7 linked regions of the Oryzias latipes genome follow. The protein of the gene in region 7 interacts with the protein of the main gene of each other region in a pairwise test. Links are inferred from orthologs where the notes say so. Each region holds a gene or a part of one and is shown on either strand. Other genes may lie near its edges.

Region 1 (4,172 bases), on a different chromosome or scaffold from region 7:
TTCATTTGTCATCCGTGTCCCTTTTTGACTTCCTCTGGCCTTGGGGCTTTAATCACTTCACTCATTTAGATGATTCACAACATTCGGACTGCATCCTTTGTCTTCACTGAGTTGCCAAGAACATCTGTCAGGACACTTGAAAAACAGAAAATGCTAAATTTTTGCCTTATGAATGTTACTTGTTCAGACAAATAACCTGCCTTTTTCTTTCCTTTCATAGCTTCTTTAGTCTTCCGTCTGCGTGCTCCTTAACCTCAGGAAGGAATTTGAATTAGAAGACACCAAAACGTCAAACTTCTTTAATTTTACTATATTTACTGAACGTTTTATAGAAATTGAATTAAGAGAGCCTGAAGTCTTCCACATCAACTTGACTTTCCTCTTCTGTCTTATAAATGCTTTGTGGCATGGTCTCTGCATGAATTAAGGCTCTTTTTCCTGCACTCTCCATTGCCAAAGTCTTGGTTTTGTACCGAATATGCCTCCCTGCTTCATTTAGCGTGCCATTATTATGGTTTCTTTCTAACTGATGAATACTTACACTGTGATATTCATACTGTTAACTGAACTGCATTTGCTGTTTGATGGTTACAAAGATAGTTTGATCATTCTATGATTTAGAAGCACCTTTAGTTTTCATAGAATAATTTTATGTATCTTAAATAATATTAAAACTATAAATAGTGCTTCTCTAAAAATATTTCCTATAGATGGAGATACAACTAGTCTTAAGTGCCAAAAGAATATACTGTGTTATTAAAGAAAATAAATATTAACAATAAATGTACCTAAACCTTTGGAAATAAATCTTGTAAATTTGTGTTATGTCAATATCATTGATTATGAAGAAATAAATATTATTATGCATTATTATAGTTGTATCGTTGTTGTTGTTTTATTTTTTTCAATTAAAAAAAACAAAAACTGGTTTTGGTCAGCTCCAGCTGGTGACAACTAACAGCCAGGGCTTACTCGCTGGTGAGGCTCAGGTTCCTTCCAGTGTCTTCTAGATCCCTCCTAGAAACACATAAGGTTGCCGAGTGTAGACACCTTTTTATAATTGTTTATTGTTATTAAGGTAAAATTGTTATTATAAGTTACTAGCTTTCATCTAAATAAGAAATATACTATTACTTTACAAAATCTTAAATAAAAAATTCTTCTGAGCCTCAACAAGTCACTTCTAACACGCCCATATCTCTCATTTCTGATTGGTCATTTGCCTCGTGAAGGGGTGGGACTTTTTGTGAATATCCAATTAAAATATAGAAGACTCAGCTGCTAGCCAATCAAATCCTCCCATGCTCAGACCCTAGCTTCTTATGCACTCTTATTTACCTAAACTGTCCTTTTCCCCGTCGCCTTAACCAAGGGTAGGGGGTGTGCATAGGCAGAAATCAACCTCTGCTTAAAAATTTTTTTTACGCTAAGTTTTATTTTTCTACAAAACTCCGTGTTTATTACCCAGTGGATCATAACTTTTATCATTAAAGACAACACGCTTTCAAGGTAGGTGCACCACGTTTATTTGTGTAACAACATTCACTACATGTCACAATTATGGTTAAATGAAGTCAACCTAAAATTAAAAATAGGAAGCATTTTGTGTTGTGACTGATCCATAGAAAGTACTATAATTGAGATATGTTGTAGCTAGCGTTAGCTTGAGTAGCTAGCTGCAGTTCGATTAACTCTCCTTTCCATACAGTAAAAAAAAAAAAGTTCATAGCCTAGCTAGTGCTTGAAGCACATATATCCGTTTTTCGGTAAAGTCTTTATTAAAGTTTTCACAAATGTGTTGACACCACGGACTAGTGTGTGTTCCTCGAAGCGTTGTTGTCTATGGCAGGAACATGTCCCGACATGTCGCGGGTTCTGCCCCAACATGGCCTGATCCATTTACCTACTGTTCTAATAGCCATCTATCAATATTACGAAGTATTTAATGGAATACAACGTTTTGATTATGACTCCAGATACCTGTTTGAATTGTATTTATCTCCAGTATATGTGGTAATTGTGTCCAATCATGCGTTATCCCCCCATCTAAAGTTCAAATAGGTGACAGCTGTAACAAATGTGTTACTTGATAACTTACCAATATAGAAACTCGGTCTGCTTGCTCTCTCCTAAGCTGTACACGTTTTTAGGCATATAAAGCAGGTTGCGTGCAGTAATCCACAGGTTCAAGGGTGTCTTTCTCATTTCATGTAAATTGATTAAGTTAATACCCAAAGACCAATGCAATGTTATACTTTGTGTCCCGTGTGCAGATCATCAGATTGCTCACTCAAAATCCCCAAATTTGGATAACCTGGCATGTGGTTTTTATTTTCCTATTCCAAATAATATCAACATTCTCCTGCTCTTTACAGATGATTGATACAGTGACGGGAGCTGGAGTGCAGTCCTCTGCAGCTCAGCTGAAGACCCTGATAGATCTGGAGGCCAGATACCAACCAAAGCTGAGCGGATTGAGGCTCATTGAGTGTGCCCAGGACAATGGCCTAAGGATGACTGCAAAACTCAGAGAGCTGGAGGTGAAAGACCTGCTCTCTCTTTCCAGGTTCTTTGGTTTTAGCGCAGAGACCTTCTCCTTGGCTGTGAGCCTGCTGGATCGATTTCTCTCTGTAATGAAGGTTTGTAATGAAACTGTTCTGGCTTGTTTCATGAATTTCTACAAATTAAATAAAATGACACGCCTCCCCTTCATGTCCATTTCAGATTCAGCCAAAGCACCTCTCCTGTGTTGGTCTTTGCTGCTTCTACATCGCTATAAAGTCCTCAGAGGAGGAGAAAAATGTGCCTCTGGCAAATGACCTCATCCGCATCAGTCAGAATCGCTTCACTGTGTCTGATATGATGAGGATGGAGAAGATCGTCATGGAGAAATTATACTGGAAGGTGAAAGCCCCCACAACCCTCCACTTTCTTCGACTGATTCACAGTCATATCCAGGAGCAGCTTGACTCTGAGGGGTAACTTAATCTTAAAATATGTTTTTTTTTTTTTTCCAGTTTGAATGTTATCATTGAACACTCTTTTTGTCAACAGCAAAATGATCTTAAGTATCGAGAGACTGGAGTCGCAGCTTAAAGCCTGTCATTGCTCATTTGCTTTCTCCAAAATAAAGGTATGTCATGAGAAACTGTGTACAAATTTTGATCATCTGTTCTGATAAAAAAATGATTCTGTACCTCGTACCCCACATGTGAATCATTCATTAATCCTCTTCACCCCTGTCGGGGCATAGGGCGTCTACTAGGTCTCTCCAGCCTCTCCTGTCCTGGGCCGCGGTTTCTAACTGGCCCCATGATAATCCAAGAGATTTGGCTTCCGCCGCCGTTGTTCTCTGCCATGTTGTTTTGGGCCGTCCTGGATTTCTTTTGCCTTGTGGGTTCCACTTTAGCGCTTGGCGAGTGATACTGTTTTGTGGTTTTCGGAGCGTGTGTTCGAGCCATCCCCACTTTCTCCTTTTGATTTGATTCTCCACTGGCTCCTGTTTGGTTAACTTCCAAAGGCATTCGTTCGTGACTCTGTCACGAACAGAGTCCCACATGTGAATACTCCAGATTTATTTATGTTGAGGGGACTTGAAATCTGTTTTTTACAATTCTTTATTGAGGTGACTGATCTGGAAAAGGAAACACTTATCAAAACAAATGTGTTAGGCTAATAGATTCAGTCTGAGTTGTTAGAGACAACATGAAGTTATTTCTCCTCGAATAGTTTCCATAGGATTATCAAAGGTGTACCCTCCCCCAGTCAAAGTGGCTTCTTAAAAGCAGACGTGTAAAGAATGTGATGGTGCAGACGAAAACAGACAAGACCTTTGAGTTCAGCAGAAGGTTGAAAAGATTAGCCATGATCAGTCAAACACACTGTTCTTACATGCAACCTGATGCTTGTGTTTGGAAAAAGAGAATTAGGAAACCTAACTTTCATTTAGTTTGAGCTGATTAAATTTATTTGAACTTGGCTCCAGGTTCAATTTGTCATCCCTTTTTCAGGGATGGACTTCTGGAAATAACTAGAATTTTCTTAAAAAGGAAATATGTCGTCCATGCTCGTTTTAACCAAATCCCCCTTGATTTGCTGTTTCTTTTCAGCCTTCTTTGCTTGCAATGGCTCTAGTTTGCTATGAGGCCCAGGATCAACATGACCCTGAACAG
Region 2 (4,228 bases), on a different chromosome or scaffold from region 7:
TCCCACTTTCGGGTGAGGAACGGCCTCTTCCTGCTGATGATCTCCCCGGCGAAAAAAGTGGTCAGGGTCGGATATTCCTACGAAAATGTGCAACTGGATTATACCAACAATCTTGTTTTGTAAACTTTACAGCGTTAAGGCTAGGTTATCGCTATGTATAAATCATTAATAGAAAATTAAGACGTTTAAAAATATTCTAAGCAAATCGATCCCTTAATTAAAAATATCTGCACTTCAGAGGCAGAACAAAACAAAAAACTATGTAGAATTATTTGGCTCACGATCAGTTGGACTAATATTTAGTCATTGCAAGAAAAATTACACAAAAGGTGGAGGAAAAACTTGCAAAAACATTTAAAATTCTAAGTCCAGTTCATCCACATGTACATATTCCAACATGAATCCTCTAAATATGAACAGAACTGACCTCTGTGAGTCCTTTTATTTTCAAATAGCCACACAAGTAGGAATCCTCCATTGTGACATGCTGTAACAAATAATAAACAGAACTTTTAGGTCAAATCTCCACTGAATTTATGTTAAAAAAAATAACAAAAACAAAACTTGACGGTCAGAAGCTGCAGTTTCTCAAAAAATGTCAACAGCCCCTAATGTTGCAACATTTAAGCTAGTTGTGATAGTTTGTGTTAATTTAAACTGGTAGAAAATTGTGCAGCTGGTTGTTGTTAGTCGGTGTTGTTTGGGCGCAGTTGCTCTGCTACTCCCACCACTACACCCACAGTTGGTCCAGGACAGGCCGGGACCCCCTTTTTTTTTCAGCTGTCACTCTTCCAGCCGCCACTTTGACACATCACCCGAAAGCCTCGCGCTCGCAGTACGAAAAGCAACATTTCCGCCTCGGTGCCCCCCACCTGTAAGACCACCTCAACGTCGTAGGAGTTCCCTTTGCTTTTCTGGTGGCCTCTGAACTTGGAGCCGCTGTACAGCAGCGACGTGACAACACCGGGCTGGTGAGTGTTTATCGGCGGCAGCGGGATAAGCGAGGCCGAGGATGCAAAGGCCGCGGCCGGGAACTCGCTGAGATATCCAGCGGGGACAGGCATAGCTCCAGCTTCGCAGGCTGAACTCCAACCGCGGTCAACGGCCGTGCGGCAGCGGGACTCGGTCAACCTGTACGACCAGCCAGAAAGAAAGTCCCGAGGAGGTCCTCAAACATTCAAATTGCTCTTAATTGCGCCACAGTTCAGTTTGCGAAGCATCAAGCTCCCCAGAACTAAAAGTGGACTTCGAAGCTGCGCTGTAACCAGTAGCAACGGCTTATCTCATTGGTCCAACAACTTCACCCTCGAAGATCGTCGACGCTCATTGGCTGAGCAGGCGGAAGAGTATTCGTGAACATTTTTGATGTAGTTTTTAAGTGATGTGTAAGCGTTAGCAGTGCCAAAAATAAACTACATTTCCCAAAGCATGCAATGAAAACATTTTGTAGCTTTGTAGCATCGAAGGTCACACGCGTGGTTTTGAACCGATGTGTTACTGTAAGCTAGATGAAAACCTTAATGTTTAACAACAGATTTATTGTAGAGTCAGGTTCATTATACACTCAAGATCTGTTTGTTCAATGTGGTACTTTAGTGCGTGAGAGACCGGCTTAAGAAATCGCTAGTGAATCGTCTTTTTTATTGTAAACAGTATACGTCCAAATTTAGGTATGAATATGTTTAGACGTGTTTTTCAACTTCGAAATTCCTTTGGAAATGTAATTTCAGTTTGCAAGTCGTGTCCCAGTCATCAGTACTCCAAGTGTTTGTCAAAATACTCCACTGCATCTACAGGTAAACGTGTTTATTTTGACATTACTATTATTAATTATCAATATGCTGTGTGCTAATCATGTGCTACATGTTTTGCTATTTGACAGAGAGGAAGAGATTTTATCAAGATGTCAGCATATCTCAAGGAGATGGTGAGTCTTATTTAAAATTTAAAATAATTTTATTTATTGTTCCAGGGAAGACCAAGATTGATTATATTCTCTAATTTTGTGACGATTTTGTCCATAGATGGTTTGTATGAAATAAATCTGGATAGAAGGAAACTCAAAACTCCAGGAGGGAAGCTGTTCACAGTACCAAATGAAGCCCTGGCTATCGCCGTGGCAACAGAGTGGGATGCTCAGAGGGGGACACTCAAGTTTTATACCATGCACCTTGTATGGGATATTTTTTCTGACCTATTTACACCACAGTGTGTAGCCAGCCGTACTCATATGCCGGTTGAACTTTTCTTGCAGACCACTTTGTGCAACACGGCTCTGGACAACCCCACCCAACGCAACAAGGAGCAAATGATCAATTCAGCGTTGAAGTTTTTGGAGACTGACACGATCTGGTATGGATTTAGCTTTTATACTGTTTCTGTCCAGAGTTGATGATTATTTGGCTCATTTATGCCGGTTACTCAGTTTAAAAGATAAAACACCTGTATTTCAAATCAATATTTTACTTGAATGGAGAAAAAATGTTCTTAATCTAGAGAGAAAAGCAACAAGGACTTCAAAATAAAAGCACCTAACAGAAATACCAAAACAATAGAAAATTCAAAATTAGGTTTGTTTAGATAAAAAGTACCCAAACAAATCCTGGACTTGTGAGATGCAACTACATCTAATATGTTTTTTTTTTTTTCTATTTCTCTTTGTAAAAAATAAAACGTTATCTGCCATTCTGTGCTCTTTTTTTGCAATTTTTTTTGCAAATAATAGTCAAAATGCAATTACTTTTTAGCTTTTTGAAAATGTTCGAACCTATTAATATAATTTAGACTTTTTTTTTCATTATTATAAATTATACTTGTATAATGAGATATATTGTTTAACTGTCAACTATGTATTAGATAATCCCTTTAGTTCTTTAAATTTATATATTACATATTTATTTATTTCCCTTGTCTTTTTAACTTTTTACACATATTTAAAAAAAACTTATTATCTTATTCAGAATTTAATTTAAACATTTTATTGTGGTCCTGAAATATTCAACTTCTTTACACTTGTCTGCTTAATTGTTTTATGGATACCTTAGTAGTTTTAGCAAACAGATTTGCATCAGTCTTTTATTTACAATTATTATGTTTTAGCTACTTTATTGTGTAGGTGTGAATTTGTAATACATTTATTGGCACTATATATCTTTTTACATTTTCTATTTACTTTAGCATATTAGCTTAGGATTTAGCAACGTTCACTTTCTTAATTTCTTTAGCTAATTAACAATTTTATTTTACTGTTTTTTTGTGTTGATCCTTTTGTTATTGTGATTATTATTAATAATTATGCAGTGTATTTTTAGTTATCTCCCTTTATTTGACTAATGTAGCATTTTGCACTAAACTGTAATGCCACTGTAAAAGAAAGCAGATGTTTTTAGCTTATTGCAGAAAACTAGCATTTTTGTTTATGGAAATAAAATAAAAGAAATGAATTTTGGAACTTCTATGAATTTCATATACTAGATATTTGCAGGAGAAACTTTTTTTTCTCGGTCCATTGTCAGATGATTCCAGACTCCAAAGCATTAAAAATAAAGAATTACTGTGAAAATGAATGCAACAAACTTTTTCTTTGACCTAATTTCTTTAATAGGACCATCATTGTCTGGCCAGTAAAGTGAAAGCAAGGTCTGTTTTGTTTTCACCGGAGATGGTTGCCATATACCTGACTGTGGAGCAGGCTGTGCTGCTCTCTTATAGCATCTGCCATTTGGCTGCCTCTTTTTTTTAAGTTTCATTTTCAGATTAAGTTACCTTGTTGTCACAAAACAGTGATTTATTTATGCTTTGATTCAGTTACAGAGTGGAGGATCCTCCTGGTTTAGTGGACCTACAGAAGAACGAGTGGGATCCGGTTCTGCACTGGATTGAAAACCGGTAAAAAAAATAAAACAAAAGCATTAATCTTCACATCTTGTGCAGTAGACTTCCAAATGATGTAGGAACTGTCTCAGTAAACCATACATTATTATGCATTTTCTCTGTACTATTGCATGGCAGATACAATGTCACTATTGGATCTTCATCGAGCATTCTGGGTCCTGAAATTCCACAGGCAACCAAGGAAACTTTTCGACAGCATCTCAATTCTTACAGCCTCTGGTCCCTGACGGGTAAGACATCTCAACTCCAGAAAACGTGATCATCTATAGATCTCAACTTGTGCAGGCTGAGATGATGTATTTATTGTTTTTGAAATGTTTAAGAATTGTGTCTG
Region 3 (4,226 bases), on a different chromosome or scaffold from region 7:
GAAACTAGCATGTGGTGTCTATGATGTGCTGCTGTTAAAAGTAAACCAAGTTACTTTTTTTTAAGTAACTTTTTTACTTTTTTTTTACCCATCAAAATGCAGGGAAGAATTTCCCCATTGTGGGATAAATAAAGTATCAATTATTATTATTATTATTATTATTATTATTATTATTATTATTATTATCAAAGGCTGCCTGTCAGGTGTATTTAAAATAGACACAGAGACATCCACAGGATTGTTTCGAGCTTATTTTTTCTATTGTAATTTTAACTTCTTCCAAAAAGATTTGTATTTAGTGACACTCCCACATGCAATGCTTCAATGTGCCTTTAAATCCACATTTTGCACAAACATCTGGTATGTTATTATTATATTTATTTAGTTGCACTTGTGTAGTATACAAACGCATTAACCATTTAACCCTTGTGCTATCCCAGGCACTTTGACATTGGGAGTTGGGTCATCTAGACCCACTAGACAGTGCTCTGAACCTTTTTTCTTCAATGATTTGTGATCTTCACTGGCGTCCATGGATTACATGAAAGCTTTCCACCTTTATCCACCTTTGTCATGGTAGGGAGAACACATCAATGTAAGGATGGGGTCATCTAAGATAGCACAAGGGTTAAATTGTAGTATTCTCAGTCGACTGTTACTACAACATCCCCTTGTCCAATCGTTTTCATTAATATTTAGTGATAAGTCATCTTTCCATGATTTTAATTTATCTATAGGGGCCTTTATTACATTTAGTATATATTTTCTGGCAGTAAAATAGTATGGGGTCAAATTTGGATCAGTTTATCAGCTCAGCAGCGAAAACTTAATTGAAACAAAAAACTGAGAACTAAAAGCAGAGAGGGAGAAACAAAGAAAAAGGGAGTTGAAAATACATATAAACGTTTTTTTTTTAATTTGGTTTAAAAAAGTCTTACCATAGAACAGTCACCAAAACTTAGGGTTAGGGTTTTATTTGTGTTTTTCTTCTGTTCTAAAACAAAATACATCTTTAAAAATCAAAATGTATTCTAAATCAAAAAATATAACCATATTGTTTACTTTTAAACGCTTGTGTTATCCAAGGCACTTTAACGTTGGGAGTGGGGTCATCTGGACCCCACAAGACAGTACGTGGAATCCTTTTTCTTCAATGATTTGTGATCTTCACCGGTGTCCATTGGATTACATGAAATCCTCTCCCATATATCATGGTAGGGAGAACACGTCAATGTAAGATATAGCACAATGGTTAAGTATAAAAGTTAGTTTGTAATCCTAATTTGTTATCTGTCCCACTTTCTTTGTGTCCTTATCACTTAATGAAAATTGCCATGACATGCTCTTTTAGCATGCGTTTCCTCTGACAAACAAACATCACGCCCCCTCCACTCTCCCTGTTGCCTTCTGGTTGTAGCCCAAGCATTTCAGTTTTTTTTGTCAAAGACGTAATTTGCAGAGAAACTAGGCTCGCTTTGGCACCGAATGGCGCGGTCGCAGATATCAGTGTAGCACCTCCCACGTGACTTGTGACGTGTCACGCCGTAAAAGATTTTTTTTTTTAGGAGAATGCATATGCTGCTCAAGGGGGGGATCTTCAACGGCTTCCTGACGCCGAGAGGAAGTCCCAAAAAGTAGATAATTTTTGGGGATATAATATTTTTTAAATTCTACTCCCCGTCTTGTGGTGTCTAGCGGATACAAGGAGGTAGAGGTATGTTTATGAGACACAGTTCTTCAGTTTATGAGTGCTATTTTAACTTCAATACAACTTTTTTTTAGTTGGCTTCTCCTCCGGCTGTTTTTCTGTTCTAATTGTTTGTTCTTAACTTGCCTTTTTGAATTAAATCAAATTGTAGCAGCACTAACGTTTGAGTTGGAGCAGATATTTTGGACTGCCCCGTCCGGTTAGCTTACTTGCTTCTCTGTGCAAACGTCTAGCTGCTGTCTTAAGAGTTCCCAGCATGCTCTTCAATTACCCCTCCTATTAAAATCACGTAAAAGCTTTCGATATAAGCTCGTAACTGTGTCTATACAGTGTTAGATGGTTAGTGTATTTTTTTAATCCTTAAAGAATAGCATAAGTTTCCTATAAAGTAGACTGACAGTAAATTAGAAAAAACGGTGAAATGAGTTGACTCAGCCTGCTGACTTAGTTGAATGAATTGGTACAGAATTGGTATTTAAAAAGGTAGTTCATCATCTGAGGATTCCAACACTTTTGATTTATTGTTGCTGTTAAACTGTATGTTTCTTTTAATCCTCTAAACTGTCTCTTTAACTTTATGAACGGAGGATTAATTTGCTTTTGCAAAAGGAAAATATCAATTTCAAACGATAAAAAACACAAAAGAACTCATATTTGGTTTAGTTGGGAAGATATTTTATTAGTTATGTCCTCTTTTTGGCAGAAGTGGGATGTTTTTACATTAGTTTTTGGGTCTTAAGCTTAATTATTCTATGTAATTTTAAAGAAGTGGATAATAAAATGGGTTTGTTGTGCTTCGTACCAGAGAAACTACAGTGCTAGAAGGTTTTTTCTGTTCCCAAGTGTGATTCTTGAAAGAAAAGAAGGATACAGAAATGAAAATGACTTATGTTTTGACTCTTTGTCAAAATGAAGGGGTAGTTGACGTTACCTCTCTCCTTCCAAGTGCCCCCCCTCCCCTGTGACTCATGTGGGTGTTGGGCTGAAATAGTTTGGTGTAGTTTTACATTCCTTATATAGCCTCTGAGGAGAGAGCAGAGGCTAGGACTTGTCTGTGTCGCACGCAGCATCAGGGGGGTACTTTCTGCTCGCCCGGCTTCGCTGACTCCCCGTCTTTCTCTCAGGTTTGGGCTACAAGCCGGCCCTCGAGGGTAAGGTAGGTCTGAGCGCTGGGAAGCGGTGTTATCATTAGGAAGGATTGGAGCTGGTAAGATCCAACGAGAGGAGGAGCAAGTGCTCGAGCAGGAGCACAAAGGTCAGCGGTCAGGTCACGGTGAGAGCTGGTGACGTCGACACGCTCATGTAAAAGGACTTTCTTGTGAGGTGTCTGTCTGCTGTTGAATTCCTGTTTGTAAGGTCTTCTTGTACAGTTGTAAAAATGAACTAAAAAGACGGCGTTTTATTACATTTCAACAACAGTTGAGTTGATTTTTCTTCTTCTGTCTCTAAGTGTTGTTGGTGTGCAGCTCCCCAAAGTGTGTTGATATAAGCAGGAATGTCCTATCATGTAGATGCAGCCCTGGGATTTTATTGCCTTCTTTTTTTCCCTTCTAAGGCTGGAACATTAGTTTTTTTTTTTACCCGTTAGCACCATTAGAGAAATATGAATCGATTTGCATCACTGTTTTACGAGATGCAAACCACTGGAATAAAATCTAGCAGACTTGAGTTTAGTTGGATTATAAACCTCCATGTTTAGTATGTCATGAAGAAAAACAGTCAAAATTGCTTGTCTGTGTGGAACGTGTCAGGAAAAGGCAGTAGTAGGAAAGAATATATGGACTCGGATCCCTTTTCCTGGCTTTCTGACTAATTTAGACTTTTCCTTGTGTTCCCTCTTCCTCAAGGCTATGAACTTGTACACTGTTACCCTCAATGGCCCAGCGCCATGGGGCTTCAGGCTGCAGGGAGGCAAGGACTTCAGCATGCCCCTCACCGTGTCAAGGGTAAGAACATGCCAGAAAATTGCATTTTTCTGTGAAAATTCAGCTTGAGCTGTTGACTCAAGATGCTGTAATGTGCATAGGGATTAAATAACATTCAAAATTCTGAAACAAATGCTAAAACTTTGCAGTGCAAATACCCAATATTAACAGCAGAAGCTGCTAAGTTAAATTGTTGATTAGATAACTTTTAAAGTTGCTGGAAAAAAAACAACAATAACCAAATATTGTTAAATTCAACAACGATCTCCAAAACTGCCTAGCAATACAACAAATTACTGATAATGGCAATTTTTTTCTTTTAAAGGAATGATTTTGACTAAAGGAAATTATTTTTTTGACCAAAAAGGATTTTTTAAATTATTTTTTTATTAAACTAAAAGTGTTTTTATTTAAAAACAACAAAGAACTTTTACAAAACCAAGTACAAGGGAAAAAGCCACATGTCTGCTGAAGCTGTAAAAGTTTGAATTATGTTTATAGCTGAAAGTATGCTGAGGTTATTGCTTCTTAAAGAGCACAAAGGCTTTCAACGTTTGAAGCTTTCCATTTGTTTTTAATGAGCCCCAAAGTCT
Region 4 (3,936 bases), on a different chromosome or scaffold from region 7:
ATCGATGATAATAATCAGAGATGAGTTCCTTCAGTTCGGGGTTTTTTTGGGGACCAAAAATCGGATCAGAGTCCGAGTCTGACACCGTTTCACCTTCGTCGACCATTCTCCAAACATTTACAGATTTCTTTTGTGACAGATTTTGTCGCCGAACCGGTTTACCGGCGCAGCGGGGAGGCGCGCGGGTGCGAGGCGTGTGTGACCGGTGCGCTCCGGACCCCCGCCGGCGGCCCGCTCACCTCTTTTCCAGGCAGTAATCGGTGACACCACCTCCACCCTCTCTGAAATCAGCTCCGCCAAACTGGACCGGAATAGAACGGCACGGACCGTCACGGCGACAATCATTAGGAGCGTCAAGGGAGCCGCCATCTTCGCGAGGAAGCTCTCTCGCCCTGCGCTCGAGGTGCATGCTGGGAAGTCAAGTTTATTCCGTCTCGTCAGGAAAACATTTACCTCCAACCTCCACAGATTTACAGTCCAAGCAGCGATAAGGAGCGAGTTTAATAATAATAATAATAATAATAATAATAATAATAATAATAATAATAATAATAATAATAAAGGAACATATTTACAAAAAGACTATTTAAAACGCATAATTCAAGCAATTAAAATCAAGATTAGAATTTTGTTTTAATCAAATATTGTATTTAATTTTATGTGTAAAGGTAAATAAACACATTTTAAACAACTTGAAAAGGAGTTTAATCTCAACAGAGGAGTTTTCATATGATCTTGTTGTTAGTTCTAATTTTGCATATGCTGAATATACATAAAGACGCTGTAATTTTAAACAATAATATAGCACATATTACAGGCGTTTTTCTTTAATCACCCCGGAATGCGGAATGTTTTGTCATTTGCGTGTTTTCAGTCGAAAGATTTATGTGACGGATCAAAACAAAACTGCAACTCGCCGTCTAGTTGGAATAAACTATTTTACTGTTTCCGGGGGCGTATTTAAAAATAAAATAAAATTAACGCTTTTGTGGGCCTGTGTTAGCGTCACGTTGAAGTAGATTATCGTTGTTCGTTTTAAAAATATCTGATTACTAAATTGTGACTGTATCACGTCTACAATACTATTTTAGCGTGTCGTATGTGTTTTCTGCAATCCTCTAAAAGCCACGTGCTTTTACTTTGAAAATCCCTGCAGGAAGTCGCTGTGGTTGTTATGGAAGCGACGACTCTGCGATTTTTGTTTTCTGTTCTTGTTCTGTGCTGTTGGTTTGTGAGACAACATGGCAGGCTTGGAGGTGTTGTACACCTGCGTCACAGGTAGCCTGACTTGTCCTCAGGACGCCCTCGTGTGTTTCGTTCACTGGGAAATGATCAAGGGAGGATACCGGTGCATCGGTTCCGGAGACGAGGTGGGTCGAACTAGCTAACTTAAGCAGAACCAGAAGAGACAAACCAACAACACATTCTGGTTTTATTTAAACACATTTAAGATACGAGACGAACCAAGTTAATGCTGTTTGTTTACTTTTAGATCGTAGTTTGTTGACAGCCTCTGAAGTCCCTCTGAGTTACAGTTTTGATTTAAACTCTCAGTCTGTGGGAATAAATGTTAGCTTTGCTACATTAGCAGGAGGATCAGGATGGAAACTGAAACTGTCCTGCAGGCGATTCAGAGGAAACCTCCGCTGAGTTGGTTCTTCTTCCTCCATCTAGGTGACCTTTGACCTCCTAAAGTTCTGCATTGAGTCATGTTTTAGTCCGATTTTTAGTCTCGTGCAGTTGGCACGCGCCATTTGGTCTCATACTAAACAAATGGACTTTCCGCAAAAAGTGTCACGTCATCTTTAGCGCGGGGGGGGGGGCACAGAAGCGTTTGAAAGAGAGGGTGTCTCACCCCCCCCCCCCGCCCCCGTCCCTCCCCCCAGCCCCGCAGCGGTGACCGGAAGTCGGAGCTCCTGCCTGCAGACTGGAGCAGCAACAAGGAGCTGTACAGTCTCCGCTACGAAGGCGCGGACGCAAAGATGCTGCTGAAAGCCGTCCCCGTGGACTCTGCTGTGATATTCAACCTGATGGTAGGCATGGGGGGGGGTCCTTCAGGACATGAGGGGGTGGGCACTCTGCTGGAATGAGGGAGAACGAAGCATTAAATGCAAAAAGTCTGCAGCGAACCTCACATCTGAGACGACAGAGAAACAAATCTGAAATTTAAAAACACAGAGGCCGCTTTTAGGTTTCATGGCAACATTTGGCTCGTTTTAGAACATCAGACGTGTTTTGATGATGTAGGGAGCACACAAAGGCGTTATTTATCATCTCAGAACTGTTGAAAGGTGAAGATTTAGTGGAATAGCTTCAAATTAAAAAAATAGAGAGCAGTCAGAGATTTTAACAAAGGTTTTCTGAATGAAGATCAGATGGCTTTAGGTTTGAACTTTGATGGTTTTCTTTTATTTTGATTTCCCAGCAGAAGTTCTGAAAAGGTCTTCAAAAAGAAACTTAAACTAGAAGGAGCTGCATTTCTAGAAGAAAATGCCGGTTAAATGCTGTACTGCTGAATGAAAATGAAACTTAAAGGGGAATAACGGGCAAAAAATAAAGAAATGATCAAAGTTGACCATAAATAAAGTGAAAACAGCACAATAACAAAAATGTTTGTGAAAAATGCCAGAGCCGGGTATCAAACCAGCGAGCTTCTGCACCAAGGATTCCCCATTTATTTAAATGGAGGCAGAAATCCTGGAATATCTGGAAAAGTTCAAGGATTTGAAGGACCAAAAGTCACAGCTGGAAAAAGCTGAAAGAGCCGAACATTTGAATAGATGGATGGTTGAAATAGATGAGTAACTGTAGAAGATAAGCTGCAAAACATGGCTGAAGATACTAGAATAAAGAGAAACAGGAAAACAATAAATATTTCTGAAGCAGAAACCTGGTGAATATATTATGTGTAGTTGTGCAGTGAGTCGGTACAGCCCTCTGTCTGTTTCTTCAATCTTTATTATGGTGGCATGTTATTTTTCTGTTCCGTTCACGTCCTGCAGACATGTGGACTCGTGTTGTATTGAACATGAGTCCACGCGTCACGAACGTCACAGAAACTCTGAACAATCGTCGTTCAGAAATGCTGACGTCAGATTCCAGCTGAAGGTAACGGCGGTGTGACGGCGTCTGCTTTCTGTGTGTCTGAAGAACTGCAGCACGCAGCAGGTGACCGACCTGACCGTGAACATGAAGGATCACGTGGACGCCGACCATCTGGACACGTTTGACAGGTCGGTGTAAAAAAACGTCCCCCACAGGAATCAGCAGTTCTTCCTGTTTTCAGTCCCTCAGGGTCACAGAGTCACAGGTGAGGAGGGCAGACCATAAGAGCTGCGGGTGCAGAGGTAGCAACCCTGAATCTGGATGAAATGATTGACTGAAGGCTTTTATTCTGAAGGGTTTTCATAAATGGAGACGGTTTGTCAGAGAAGGTGAGGGCTCAGCTGCTGCCCCCCCAGGAGAAGAAAGCAGGGAGGAGGAGTTTGCGGGAGGATGAGGACGAAGCAGGAGGAAGGAGGAGGAGAGAGGAGGACGACCCTCTACGCATTCCCAGCAGACGTCCTGGTCCGGGAACGCAGCATCCATGGTTGGGAAATTCTGGCATTGATTTGATCACAGCGATGGGATAAAGAAGTCTTTATTCTCTCTTTCTAGAATATTTCTATATTCTGAAAGTTAAAAGAAATGACGTTAAAGTAAAAATCAGGAATAAATTCCTGTTATTTTCTCACAGAACTGAATGAGTTGTTAGATCCGTCTGAACTTTAAAGGATAAAAGCAGAAACAAGTCTATCTAAAGATGAGCTTTTATTTTGAAAGGTTTATTCTGTCAGGAAGGAAACAGTCATCACGGATGCTGTGCTGCTCCTGATGAAGGTGAGGTGATTCTTCATCATTTGATGAACGCTTTGTTTTTCAGGCGTGAGCCTGCAG
Region 5 (3,500 bases), on a different chromosome or scaffold from region 7:
TAAATCTATTAAAATTTTGGATGGCAAAATTAATCTTCAAATAACTTTTACTGTGAGGTGCATTGCTCAACCCTTACTGTTATGTCTCTTCTGCCACGTGATATTTAAAAGTTGAAAATAAGCAAATGACTTGAAAAGTTGATGGCTCTGCAAACAACAGGAAGCTAGGAACAATGAAACTGATAAGGTAAGCAATCAGGCAGACACAAAAGAGGAAGAAGTTGTAGAATAAAAGGGGTGAGAGGGGTGAAGACGAGGGTCCCGAGCTGAGCAGCACCCACAGGTGAATGTGCCTTTGCTCAAACTGCTGCATTGAAGTCAAATCCCAAGAGCTGGTGTGCGGCTCACAAAACCATTGATGGCAACGGATAAGAGATATGCTTTACTTCCAAATTCTCCGTCATGGATTCTAGATCTGACTGTTAAATAAATATAGTTTGACTGAGCAGATTACAATGACCGTTGCCCAGATTTATCTTAAAATAAGCAAAGTTACTTCACATGAGGTACATAAGAATCCTCCATGAAAAGTTCAACAGATGAAGCTCCAAAAAATCCTCACATTGCTCAGCCGAACGCTCAGCTCTTGTTCACTTTATTGACTCCTATGGGGAAAAATAATGGTGTTATCTGTCATTATTTAGTTCACTCAATCATAGATTTTTTACATTTTAAAATATTCACAAACCTACAAATAGGAAAGTTTAAGTTTAAAGCCATCCTTAAATACTGTTGACAGGGTAATGTCTGTTCAAAGGTTCAATAAAAAAACTAAAGTAAATTTTGCTTTTGGTGTTGGTATTGTGTTTTTTAAGCTTACAGGAGTTTATTTATCACAGCCCCTGCCACTACACTGAACAAGGAATTCATTTTACATTCCAGTTTATTCCCTTTTATTGTTGGCTTGCCTAACACAGTGAGTCTTGTGCTACGGTCTGGTAGAATTTATAAAGAGAATTTAGTGTTTTTGATCTGAAAATGGTTTTGTAAAAAAATTGTTTACCATTTCTTAAACCAATCGGAAAAAACATATTCTCCATTACATATTTAAGAATGGTTACCATATGTAAATGATATAAGTCAATAAAAGAATCAGTTAGATAGGGGAATTCAAACGTTAATGTTCCTTTTTTTAAGGTTGAACTTAACCTTATTAGACACATCTCTGATATTTATAACATTATACCATTTTATTTTTATGTGTTTGTGCTTCTTATTAAAAATGTCTTCTCATGCATACACAGGTACAAGAAAGCTGGAATATGCTGGCTCTACATGGCACGAGGGCTGCTTCATCTGCCACAGCTGTGAACAGCCTATTGGCTCCAAGTCCTTCATCCCTGACAAAGACGAGCATTACTGCGTACCTTGTTATGAGGACAAGTTTGCTCCACGGTGCACGCGCTGTAAAAAGGTCAGATTGTTAATTTATATGTATACAGGAATTCAAATTGATTTTTTTTTAAAAGACCCTTCTAGTGCAGTTTTGCAGTTAATGACATTGGTCAGATTTAAAAAATAGAAGATGAAAAACTTATTTTGTGATTTTCCTTTTCCTTAAAGGCTTTGTCTAAAGGTGGTGTGACCTATCGGGATGAGCCTTGGCACAAGGAGTGTTTTGTCTGCACCAGCTGTGAGACCCAGCTAGCTGGTCAGCACTTCACCTCCAGAGATGAAAGCCCTTACTGCCTCAAGTGTTTCAGCAGCCTATATGCCAAGAAATGTGAGGCCTGCTGCAAACCGATTACAGGTAAGATTTTATGGTTTTTGTTTTAGAAGTAAGTTGTAGTGTGCATTAGCATTCTAGTTTTCTTAGCCATTTCTTTTTACATCACATCTTTGTAACATCAAATCCTTCATAGTAAAAGTGTTTTTTTTCTAACAATAATGCATGTTGCTTACAGAGACTACATATGTGCAGAGCAGAAATGTGTTTATTTACTTTAGACAAAAGTTGTCAGTTGGAAAAGCCTTTATACAGGTTGCCTTTAACTGTATTATTTTAACAAGTTAGTTAAATGACAGCTGACAGGCTCAGATTGTTATTTTAGGAATCTGGCAGCGGTGCAGAAAGGCGCTCTTCAGTGATAGACCTCTTTGTTTACGTTCTGTTCCTTCTGCTCTCCATTGTGCCATCTCTATTAGCACTTGTGTTATTTCTGTAGGCTACAAGAAGAAAAGACACTCAAATTCCAGTCTGACTTGACCGTTTATTTTAGCAATCAGACACAGAGAAACTACTATAATCACAATTCATGCCACATGCCAGCTTTATTTTTTTATGACAAGTTTTAACAATTTCAGATGGGAATTTAATTTCACGTCTATCACTATTAATTTGAAGGAACAAATATGGACAACTTACGCCTTTGACCTCCTTCTGTCCAGGAAAAGTTTTTTTGCAGCAAGACACATAATTTTTTGAATACAAAAGTCAAATGCTTGGACATTTTTCCCAAATGCAACATTTTCTAAGATTTTTTTAATGTTTTTTTATTTTGCTTTTTTTTTACCTAGTCATTATGCTTTGGCTAGTGTTCAAATATAAAAAAAGACCAAAGAGCAAAAAAATTGGAAGGTAAAATATAAATGTTGCAACAAATACCATTGCCAGTGTAAGAGTGGGAATAATTAAGCCAGGTCAGGTGAAGGCAGATAAAACTGTCTATGACCAAAATCTCCTTTTTATTTATTTTTTCTAAAATGCAAGTTGTTGTTTGAAAACAGGTAATTTTTGGATCTAAAGTGATTGTTGCACATGTCCCAATTTTGATAGAGAAATATTAGTACTTGATGGACAGGTACCCTGTCTGTGCAGGACGAACACGTGAACATGTCTGTATGACTTGTATGTAAAGCTGAGTCTATACTTTCCAGGAATTCAATGTTTAGGTGATAGAACTCACCTTTGGTTAAGTAATGAGGGGGATTGCATTGTTCTGTTGAAGAGCTGGTATTGACTATTACTGTTCCCAGAATAGTCATCACATAAAAAAGTCAAAATGCACAGATGGGGTTGACTTTGTTTCCAGTTGTCACTGGTGGGTAAAATGCAACATGATCAAAAATCCCAATTTGAAGAATTTAATTCCACATTGAAAATGCAATAGTTGTATGCTGTGTGCTACCAACAAGAGGATACCCATCAGAATACAGGACTACAAATTGAATAAAGCTTAATACAAAGAAATTAAGTTAAAATCTCACTCAAATCATCTTTTGATCCATTGTAAAAGTATTGCTTTCGGTCTTTTAATTATGATGATCGTTTTTAGTCAGCTCGGATGAGGAAAACAAAGAAGTACATGGATTAATTTGTCTGCAAGTGGATGCATCAGAATGGATCGGAGCAGTGAGCTTGTGGCCCACCAATCAAAGGACCTGCAAGCTTTTTCCAACAGCATTTTTGTCTGCTCCTGATTAGCAATGATTTGAATTAATACAAATGATGAGAAAGACTTGTCTTTATATATGTCCTCTATCATCACAAAATCCCACAA
Region 6 (4,050 bases), on a different chromosome or scaffold from region 7:
AACCCCATCAGCCTGACAGAATGATCTCCAGCCTGGTGCTCGTCAACATTGTCACCTGAGTTAACAAGACGATGAATGAAATGATCTCAGCTGGTTCTTTAATGACACCAATGAAATGCCGTGGAAAGAGTTTTGGGGGATTAAGTTCATTTTTATGGCAAAGAAGGACTATGCAATTCATCTGATCATCATAACATTATGGAGTATATGCAAAATGCTATTATATGTATTTAAGCAGCAATTATTTTCCAATTTCCAACAATATTTACGTCATTCTCCAAACCTTTGACCACGACTGTACACACTCACGTGCTGGTTGTCCTCAATCTCCTGCAGAGCCTTGATCTCCCTCAGAGCCTGATTGGGAATGCCGTCCTCCAGCTTCCTCAGAGCCACCTTCTTTAGAGCCACAGTTTCCCCGGTCTGTCAGAAACACGTTCATCCATCAGCCTGAATGATCACCTGTTCAGGTGTCTGTTTTTTCTGCTCCATGAACATGTTTCACCTGCACGTGCTTGGCCTTAAACACGATTCCGTGAGCCCCTTCTCCAATCCGGCCTAGGATGCTGTACTGCTCCATGATCATCCAGGACCCCTGCAGCTGCAGCGGGGATCTTTATGGACTTGGACTTGTTCCTTTACTTAACGGTTTTTAGTCCACGGGTTTTAAGAGCGGGGCTCCGGCGCGTCCAACCAAAATAAGCACGACATTTTGAACGGAACGAGACCGGAAGTGGGCGCTGATGTTGCCTCGGTCACATCTGATAAATAAAACTACGAAACTTTAGTATATCGTTGAATATTTAGTATAGTGCTGGATATTTACTTGATGCGTAAAGCTGATGACATGTACGCGACACCAAATGTGCGCTGTCCTTTGGCACTTGACGAGATATTTTGAAAACGTTTCAACTATAGTCAACGCAGCTCTCCGCCATGTTTGTTGACAGTGACGTCATCACAGGACAATCCAAATCAACGAAAATAAAACAACGAAGAAGAATAAATAAAATTAGCACAACCAGCCATTAAACAAAAACATATATATTTTAAAATTCATATTCACATAAGGTTTAACCCGGGAATTAGTTTATGAATAATTGCCACGTTCTATATATCTGGTAGAATATGGAAGAATAAATGTAAGTGAAAATGACCAAATAACAACTGTTTGCACAAAGTGCTTTAAACATAAAAAGAAATTAAATGTTCTTTTTTCTGCTCCTCTTCTACGCTGAAACCTGGAAGTATCTTGTCGGAGTACTTCCGGTTCAGAATCTTGTTTAGATGACTGCATGTGGGGCTGTGAACTTCTTTACAAGTGTCTGAGCTGAACCGGCCCGCAGAGCCCCCGCATTAGCCCCCCATCCCCGATGACTCCGCCCACAGACGCCGGTTCTGACTCGAGGATGGAAGAGAAGGTCCTTCAGTATGAAAGATTCATCGAGGAAGTTCTGAGGAGAGACCTGCGGTAAGCCCCTCTGGGTTCTGCTCCGGTTCTGAAAGTCCCCCTCTGATGAAAATCATGTTTTGTGACATTGTGGTATTTGTCTTATGAAATACAACAAATGGAATTAGACATGGTTTCATTTTTGCATTTCTGAGTGTTTCTCCTTTTAAACCGCTGTCAATCAAACTGTCTCAAAGACGCTCTGTTTGAACTAATGCGGTGTTGTGACGTCACAAAGGCCCAGGGGAGTATTCCAGAAAGCAGGTTATGCACCCACTATTGGAGAAAAATTGCCCCAGATATTGAATGGAAGAAAGTTTGGACTTTGTCCTCTAAATATTTTATTTCAAATAAACCCCGGGATGTTTGTTTTAAACTTCTTCACAGATGCTACCCAGCCAAATCCTCATTACACATAGACATTGATAAAAATTGCTCCTTTTGTAAATTAGACACTGAAACAATTATACATCTTTTCTGGAAATGCCCCCCAACAGCAATTTTTTGGAAAGACCTTACCTCCTTTGTTCGATGTTAAATTTATGAAAAATTTGATTTGGTATACAAGGATATATTATTTGGTTTTTATAGTGTTAATAATTCACTAAGAAGGGAATACTATTTAATTAACCTTTTGATAATACTAGCCAAATTCCACATACATAAATGCAAATTTTCTGAAAAAAAGCCCTTATTCAAACTTTTTATGATTGAGTTGAACCAATATATCAAAGCAATAAAACATTCTTCCAACCCCAAAGCTATAAGAACCTTTGACACCCTGGAATTTTTTTAAATGTACAGAATAGCAACTTACTGCTTTTTCTGCTCTTGTTTATAATTTTTTTTTTCTTCTTTCTTCTCCTTTGTTCTTTTGTTCCCCTGGCACATTTTGTTACTCTTTTTTTTTATCTGTGTACTTAAAATTTACTTGAATGAGTATCTTGTATATCTTCAATAAAGTTTATTAAAAAAAAAAAAAAAGAAAGCAGGTTATGCTAGCTCCCTCGGTACGTTTGAGGCTAAGGAAGTTGATAACCTCAGCTTTCAGTTCCAGAAATAGAGGTATGTTTCAGGTTATGTCAAGTTGCCATAGCAACTCATGCTCTGAACATAACCTGGTCTGGAGCAGGTTTAGTTGAAGGTTAGTTTGTTTACAGAGAGGTGAAGCAGCATGGCGTGTCCATTTGAAGATGATTTAGTGGATGAAGAAGCTCAGATAATACTTTTTACACCATGAGAGGGTGATAAGACCACATATGGATGTTGGAAAGATAAACTTTTTTACTTTGATCTAACTTCATTATTTGCTTCAGTTAAGATAAATAATTTTTTTCAGTTCAGTCAACTTAAAAATAACACATAGTTGTCAGACAGTTATTTTACTTTCATTCAAATTAATTCAATTGAGTAGGTGTAACTTTGGTGCTGCTGTTAGATCGGCACCGCAAGGGATTGTGGGATAGCATTCCCTTTGCCTGTCTGGACGGATTTGGGTTTAAGTGTGGCTTTTTGACCAAATGTGTTTAGTTGTTTAGCTGTTTTTATTGTGTTTTGCCCAGTTATTTGTCCTACTATGCTTAGGTCTCTGCACCATGAGGGAGAGGATGATGAGATTATATATATGTTATATATAGAGAGACCTGAAAGAAAACCTAAAGTTCAGGAGGTCAGAGCAGGCTGGCTCCCCATCCTGCAGCAGGTCTCTGTCTGGCCCCCAGCTCGCCTCCTGGGAGCCGCATAGTGAGATCAACCGCTCCAGCTCCATGGGCCCTGGGACAGACTGTCCAGGCTTTAGCCGCCTTTGTTCAACAGCAGCTGGTGTAGGTAGCATAACCATTCAGCCTGCAATAACCGTTTGGGGTCCTTTCGACTGAGGATGATGTCACATTACGGTAGCCCCACTTGGACAAACTACGTAGCGTGGAGATCTGCTCGGGCTCTACATATTCTCATTTCACGTTTCCTTTTATAACATAAAGTTCTTTTCCCTCTTAAGTTGTGTCTGACATTATTCTTTGTAGTGTTTATAGAGATTTTGCCACAACCCCCTTTGTAAAGATCTGTGGCTGCTAGAATGAACCTGCTGCTCCACAGAGTGAACCCTGTCTCTGAGCAGAGCAGCTGGAGTCTCGTAGCTTCGTGTTTACAGGCAGGGAAGCTGCTTTGTCATAGTGTGCGGTCTGGAGAAGGGTTCTGAACGCAGTCCATTCATCTGCAATGCACCTAATAATAATCATAATATTAAAAGCACGTTTAGAAGATAATGTCGCTCTGTGTCGGAGCTCTGTTTGTTTACAACGGACCGTATAATATCTTCTTCTATGGTAGTATTGTCATTTGTCCAGACCAATCACTACCTGACACGTCATTGGACCAACAGACAGTCATCACATAATGTGACGTCAGCACTAGTCGAAGGACCCTGAACGGTTGTTGCAGGCCGAACTGTTATGGTACCTACACTGGGACGGTACTGAAAAAAGTCCAGCGCTTGCCGGACTTATTTGGAAAATTGCAAGAGAATTGTTACTTTCTTTCTGGCCTTTCATTTGAATTGCTGTGCAAGTGAATTCAACAATCTGCATGTCGTTGCATCA
Region 7 (4,259 bases):
TGTTGAGTTTTTAGAGATCATTTATTAGAACTTTACTGGACTTACTGACTTTGTCTTCTTTCATAAATATGGAGACATCTTTGCTCTCAGAGTGAAGAACGGGTTTTTCTGTCTTCGGGGCTGCAGCTCCCAGTCCCAGCCGTCCTTCTCCATCCAGGTCATTCATTATGTGGCCACAGGAGGAGATAACGACTTCAATGGATGCTTTCCTTCAGTGGCAATTAAAGTTTTGAACTCTGCAGACGTTTGATTTCGACTCTGGAAAATGGGATCGGCTTTGCTCTGGAGCAAACAAACAAATAAACTCTGGTGCAGCCGTCCCTCATGCATGTGCATAACGCCGGATCACTGGTTCTGTATTTAGTCTGCAGCTCCACACCTCCACACTGCTTATCTCACTCCTCCGCATGCATTTCTAAAAAAAAAGCCTTTTTTTTTTCTTTTCCCAGCAGTACTTGTGTCTCTGCGTTTCAACCATCAAACACGTTGCCTCTCTGCATCGCCTCACTGCGACGTTAAATCTGACCGGACAGCATAGTTAATCTTTAAATAGTTTAAACCCGGTGGCAATTTGAGCAAATAATACATGTCCTTATGTGTCAAACGATGCTTTTCTGTAAAAAAAAGCATCCTTTAGATTGTTTTCACAGAGTCAAAAAGGGCTAAAAGATGCTCTTCATGCTCCGTTCAGAGGCTTCCACTTTATATTTTGTTCTAGTTTTTTAGAAAACTTTTGGGTGATCCTGAAGTTTTGTTGCTCTCAGATTTCTATTGATTTTCTAGAGGTCATAGGGGGTCAAAGTCATGTTTTTAGTTGGAAAGCTTGAAGTGATTATTGATGGGTCGTAACCATGGAAAAGCCTTTCTTCTGGTGTTTAGTTTGGTCTTTGGGAAGTCATCATTTCATATTAAAGCATTTGAGGACAATCTTTTCAGGGCTTTTTGGAACCAAAAACACAGAACCACAGTTTAAGTTCAAAGAGCTTTAACTAAATTTCCAAAAATAACTGCATTTGTTAGCTGGAGGAGTAATATTTTCCACAGAAGGTGACGACTGGACACTAAGATACAATCGCTAATCTCAACCTTAGGCTCAAACTTTAAGAAAAGTTTACAAACATGTTTTTCTCTTTATGTTAGCCCAAAAAAAGATTTTCTTTTGGGATGAGAACTGAATTAAAAAGAAATAAATTTTGGCAATCAATATTTTAAGAAGATTTACTTATTTATTTATTATATGATAAATATTCTGGAATAAAAAAGTATAGATAACTTTAATAGACAAATCTTTTTCTGTTTGGATTGAAGCGTTGTATTTCTCCCCACGGTCGATGCCACACAAACACCGGCACGCCGCTGCTCTGCGGCCTCTGTGACCCACTTGGAGGACGGTCTCAGAGGAGCTCCAACCCGTTCGGGAAACAATGGCGGTGAAACGGGGCTGGGTCCGGGCTCGGGCCGTCCGGCTGCGGCTCGGCGCGGGCTGCTGGCGTCGGCATTTTTACAGCCTCACATTGAGAGTTATCAGAGCATGCAGGCAGGAGATGGAGCAGCTCGAGGGGGGCTGCAGCGGGTCCTGGGCTTGACCCGCTTTGTCAGTTTGATGACTTCATGCGAGCACTGCTGCTCCAGAGATTTACCGGTTTACAGTTCCAGAGCGGGGACATCCAGTTCCATGCCGAAAGGATGAAAAATGAATCTTTCTGCATGGAAGTTCAACATGTGAGGAGGCTTTAGTGACCTGACGATGGCTGATCCAGGGCATTTCCATTGGTTAAGAGAAACCGCCAGTTTGTTTCCAGGTAAGATTCAGCCACTCTGGATTTTAGGAGAGGCGGCAAACATCTGTGAGATGATGAGGCACGTTTGTCCTCACCTGAAGCTGTTTTCCAGCCGGACAAATGTTTCTGGGGGCAGAAATGTGGAGACTTTTTAATCAGATTAAATCACCTGCAGAAACGAGATGAAGGTAAATCAGAGAAGGAGATCAAAGAGTCCGACTTTTGCTGATGACATGAAGACAAAGATCTGCTATTTTACGTCGTTTTTGAGATGGTGCTGACAGAAAAAAAAAGACGAGAAAGCTCACTTTGACCTTTGAAATGGAAACAACTGCATGTTTAATGCAAGTGGTCCCTCCCTGGATCCAGTTCATCACAAGCAGTGGCTGAAATGATGTGTTGGAAATCACCATCTCAGGCCCACAGAACCAGCGCTGCCACGTCCATCGGGCTGACATTTGCTACCCAAAACCAGCAGCGGTCAGCGTTGATAAGAATGCACCGTCTGTACATGTGCATGCGTTTTTGCCGCGGCGAGTGTCTGTCACGCCGCCACGGCCCAAAGTGGAAGGAAGCCTGTGGAGGTTCAGATGGTGACAGATGGTTTGGAGACAAATCCATCGGGGAGTCAGGATCTCTGCCCTGAGACCGGTAGTGTTTTTATTTTAGTTGTTCTATAATTAGAGAATATTTACCTCTCATTTGTCAGAATTTCTGAGCTGGAACTCCTCGTTTTCCCCCTTCCCCACAGGATGAAATGTTACTGATATTACTAAACCCTTTTGTAGTTTCCCTGTTGGAAGCTTTTAAAGGTTGAAATTCATGTTATACCCCTGTTAACTGAAATGTATCATCTGTAGTGGACATTTCTAAACCTGAATATCTTCCAACCACTGTCTACTACTAGATGAACTACTTCTGGTTTCTACAGAGGACATTTGGGGCTTTCCAATGATACCAAATGTGAAGAAGTGGGGCTCAGGTTGTCAGGAGGATTTATATGAGAAAAAGATTTTATCTTCCAGCCAAAATAAGCAAAATATACATTTTTCTGAGGAATTTATTGTCTTGTCTTCAAGAGTTGAGGTTGCTAACCGTTTGGCTGCGGTCAGAAAACACAGACCAGCAAAAGAACTTTCTTTGATCTTTTAAAACCCAAATTTACATGACAGTGAGGCGTTTCTTTACTTTTTTCTTTTATCTAAGCATTTTATAAAGACAGGAGGGTTTAAAAAATGCAAATGTGGTTAAAGCCGTGAGCAGCATTGCGTAGGCACTACCCATACCCGCCATCCTTTGTTTGACCCGCCCCCACTGGCTACACGCCCCTCATTTCCCCCCTTCTGCCCCTGCCACCCTGCTCAGAGCTACACTTAACAAATTCATAAATGACAGATTTTTCAAAATGGTGGCTTTTCTGTTTGTTTTATCTCCATAGTAACCATTGTTCTTTTGGGTCTTCTGGGGGTGACGAACAAATCTACGTAATTTTAGCAAAAATCGGGAAAAGTAATGTTTTGGATATCCTTGCCGACAGGGGTTTTTGTTGACCACGCCCACATTCCTAATCTAAGTAGCTTCCCGGTGATGCTCGAGGAGATCAAAGTCCCTAGGAAGAGTTTACATTTGTAGAAGGTACTAAAGGTAATTTTATTTTATAAACCTAAGATGGTGACCTCTTCCTAAGGTCAAAGGTCAATGAAACTTTGGTTGTAGACTAAACCTGGGTTGTGTCCGAATTCCTTCCCTACTCACTATGTAGTGCGTTCTCCATTTTCTAGTGCTGTCCAAATCTATAATTCCAAAATCAAGTGCCCTGGAAATTTCCCAGAAGTCTCCAGTGTGCATCGATGTTCACTAGATCAGCAAATATAGACCACAATGCATTGCGTCAGAACAATTTTTCCCCAAAAATGTATTTAAATGATTTTTTTTAAATGAACCATCATCGTTTTTATCTTCAGAAGACAGTGGACTCATAAATAATCCTCGCAGTTTCTCCTGTTTTCCTTCAGAAGCGTTTGTGGAGAAGTGATGCTAACATCCAGTCTGAACTTCTGCAGAATGAAAGAGGTGGAGATGTTTGCACGTTCATTCCTCACAGTGGATTAAAAGGTGAGGTAGGATTCTGCAGGTAGAGAGAACCTGCAGAGAGAGAAAGGTTTGAGAAAGGTGAACCTTTCTTCCTGAAACCGTCCAGTGTCTGTGAACTCCCAGAAGCCTCATCACCCGAACCTGCAGCCTGAAGCTGCTGTGAAAACGAAGCTGCTAAAAGCTTCCCAGGACTGTGGCTGTTCAAGTGCATGAACACGTTTGACAGTCTGCTGCCTTACATGCATTCAGTGGTTTATGGGGGGGTGAATTGTTGTTTTGTCTCCTGTCAGTGCAGCTTGGCCGGTTTAAGCCCTAATAGTCTGTAATCATCTCATCTCCATCTAGGTGAGGGGTCAGCATCTTTACTCCAAGAGAGAGCTTCAG

Evidence for each region.
Region 1: the proteins of pak5 (region 7) and ccng1 interact in binary tests that used the Homo sapiens proteins (3 or more experiments, as listed by UniProt). The two-hybrid records come from large-scale screens. The link is inferred for Oryzias latipes from reciprocal best matches to the Homo sapiens genes PAK5 and CCNG1.
Region 2: the proteins of pak5 (region 7) and atpaf2 interact in binary tests that used the Homo sapiens proteins (3 or more experiments, as listed by UniProt). The two-hybrid records come from large-scale screens. The link is inferred for Oryzias latipes from reciprocal best matches to the Homo sapiens genes PAK5 and ATPAF2.
Region 3: the proteins of pak5 (region 7) and pdlim7 interact in a two-hybrid assay, tested with the Homo sapiens proteins (2 studies listed by BioGRID and IntAct). The two-hybrid records come from large-scale screens. The link is inferred for Oryzias latipes from reciprocal best matches to the Homo sapiens genes PAK5 and PDLIM7.
Region 4: the proteins of pak5 (region 7) and psmf1 interact in binary tests that used the Homo sapiens proteins (3 or more experiments, as listed by UniProt). The two-hybrid records come from large-scale screens. The link is inferred for Oryzias latipes from reciprocal best matches to the Homo sapiens genes PAK5 and PSMF1.
Region 5: the proteins of pak5 (region 7) and fhl3 interact in a two-hybrid assay, tested with the Homo sapiens proteins (2 studies listed by BioGRID and IntAct). The two-hybrid records come from large-scale screens. The link is inferred for Oryzias latipes from reciprocal best matches to the Homo sapiens genes PAK5 and FHL3.
Region 6: the proteins of pak5 (region 7) and uxt interact in binary tests that used the Homo sapiens proteins (3 or more experiments, as listed by UniProt). The two-hybrid records come from large-scale screens. The link is inferred for Oryzias latipes from reciprocal best matches to the Homo sapiens genes PAK5 and UXT.

Annotation. Positions count from the first base shown.
Region 1 is NC_019868.2:17,586,292-17,590,463, reverse strand, and holds the start of ccng1 (cyclin-G1), read left to right. Parts: upstream 1-1,372; 5' UTR 1,373-1,509; intron 1,510-2,375; coding exon 2,376-2,639; intron 2,640-2,724; coding exon 2,725-2,978; intron 2,979-3,054; coding exon 3,055-3,133; intron 3,134-4,109; coding exon 4,110-4,172. Other genes in the region: septin-8-A, read left to right, coding at 221-275. UniProt on the Homo sapiens protein: May play a role in growth regulation. Is associated with G2/M phase arrest in response to DNA damage. May be an intermediate by which p53 mediates its role as an inhibitor of cellular proliferation.
Region 2 is NC_019877.2:3,256,401-3,260,628, forward strand, and holds the start of atpaf2 (ATP synthase mitochondrial F1 complex assembly factor 2), read left to right. Parts: upstream 1-1,428; 5' UTR 1,429-1,672; coding exon 1,673-1,796; intron 1,797-1,882; coding exon 1,883-1,927; intron 1,928-2,024; coding exon 2,025-2,173; intron 2,174-2,254; coding exon 2,255-2,352; intron 2,353-3,807; coding exon 3,808-3,888; intron 3,889-4,011; coding exon 4,012-4,124; intron 4,125-4,228. Other genes in the region: gid4 (glucose-induced degradation protein 4 homolog), read right to left, coding at 1-77, 428-487, 873-1,064. UniProt on the Homo sapiens protein: Plays a role in the assembly of the F1 component of the mitochondrial ATP synthase (ATPase).
Region 3 is NC_019868.2:19,546,091-19,550,316, reverse strand, and holds the start of pdlim7 (PDZ and LIM domain protein 7), read left to right. Parts: upstream 1-1,426; 5' UTR 1,427-1,714; intron 1,715-2,711; exon of another isoform or gene 2,712-3,010; intron 3,011-3,036; exon of another isoform or gene 3,037-3,126; intron 3,127-3,553; exon of another isoform or gene 3,554-3,555; 5' UTR 3,556-3,558; coding exon 3,559-3,654; intron 3,655-4,226. UniProt on the Homo sapiens protein: May function as a scaffold on which the coordinated assembly of proteins can occur. May play a role as an adapter that, via its PDZ domain, localizes LIM-binding proteins to actin filaments of both skeletal muscle and nonmuscle tissues.
Region 4 is NC_019863.2:32,757,443-32,761,378, forward strand, and holds the start of psmf1 (proteasome inhibitor PI31 subunit), read left to right. Parts: upstream 1-1,136; 5' UTR 1,137-1,241; coding exon 1,242-1,370; intron 1,371-1,886; coding exon 1,887-2,033; intron 2,034-3,150; coding exon 3,151-3,233; intron 3,234-3,400; coding exon 3,401-3,589; intron 3,590-3,922; coding exon 3,923-3,936. Other genes in the region: pigu (phosphatidylinositol glycan anchor biosynthesis class U protein), read right to left, coding at 240-369. UniProt on the Homo sapiens protein: Plays an important role in control of proteasome function. Inhibits the hydrolysis of protein and peptide substrates by the 20S proteasome. Also inhibits the activation of the proteasome by the proteasome regulatory proteins PA700 and PA28.
Region 5 is NC_019874.2:23,688,079-23,691,578, reverse strand, and holds part of fhl3 (four and a half LIM domains protein 3), read left to right. Parts: intron 1-1,244; coding exon 1,245-1,414; intron 1,415-1,563; coding exon 1,564-1,750; intron 1,751-3,500. UniProt on the Homo sapiens protein: Recruited by SOX15 to FOXK1 promoters where it acts as a transcriptional coactivator of FOXK1.
Region 6 is NC_019865.2:33,765,944-33,769,993, reverse strand, and holds the start of uxt (protein UXT), read left to right. Parts: upstream 1-1,250; 5' UTR 1,251-1,373; coding exon 1,374-1,471; intron 1,472-4,050. Other genes in the region: cdk20 (cyclin-dependent kinase 20), read right to left, coding at 310-423, 506-586. UniProt on the Homo sapiens protein: Involved in gene transcription regulation. Acts in concert with the corepressor URI1 to regulate androgen receptor AR-mediated transcription. Together with URI1, associates with chromatin to the NKX3-1 promoter region.
Region 7 is NC_019882.2:2,145,488-2,149,746, forward strand, and holds the start of pak5 (serine/threonine-protein kinase PAK 5), read left to right. Parts: upstream 1-1,459; 5' UTR 1,460-1,747; coding exon 1,748-1,802; intron 1,803-4,259.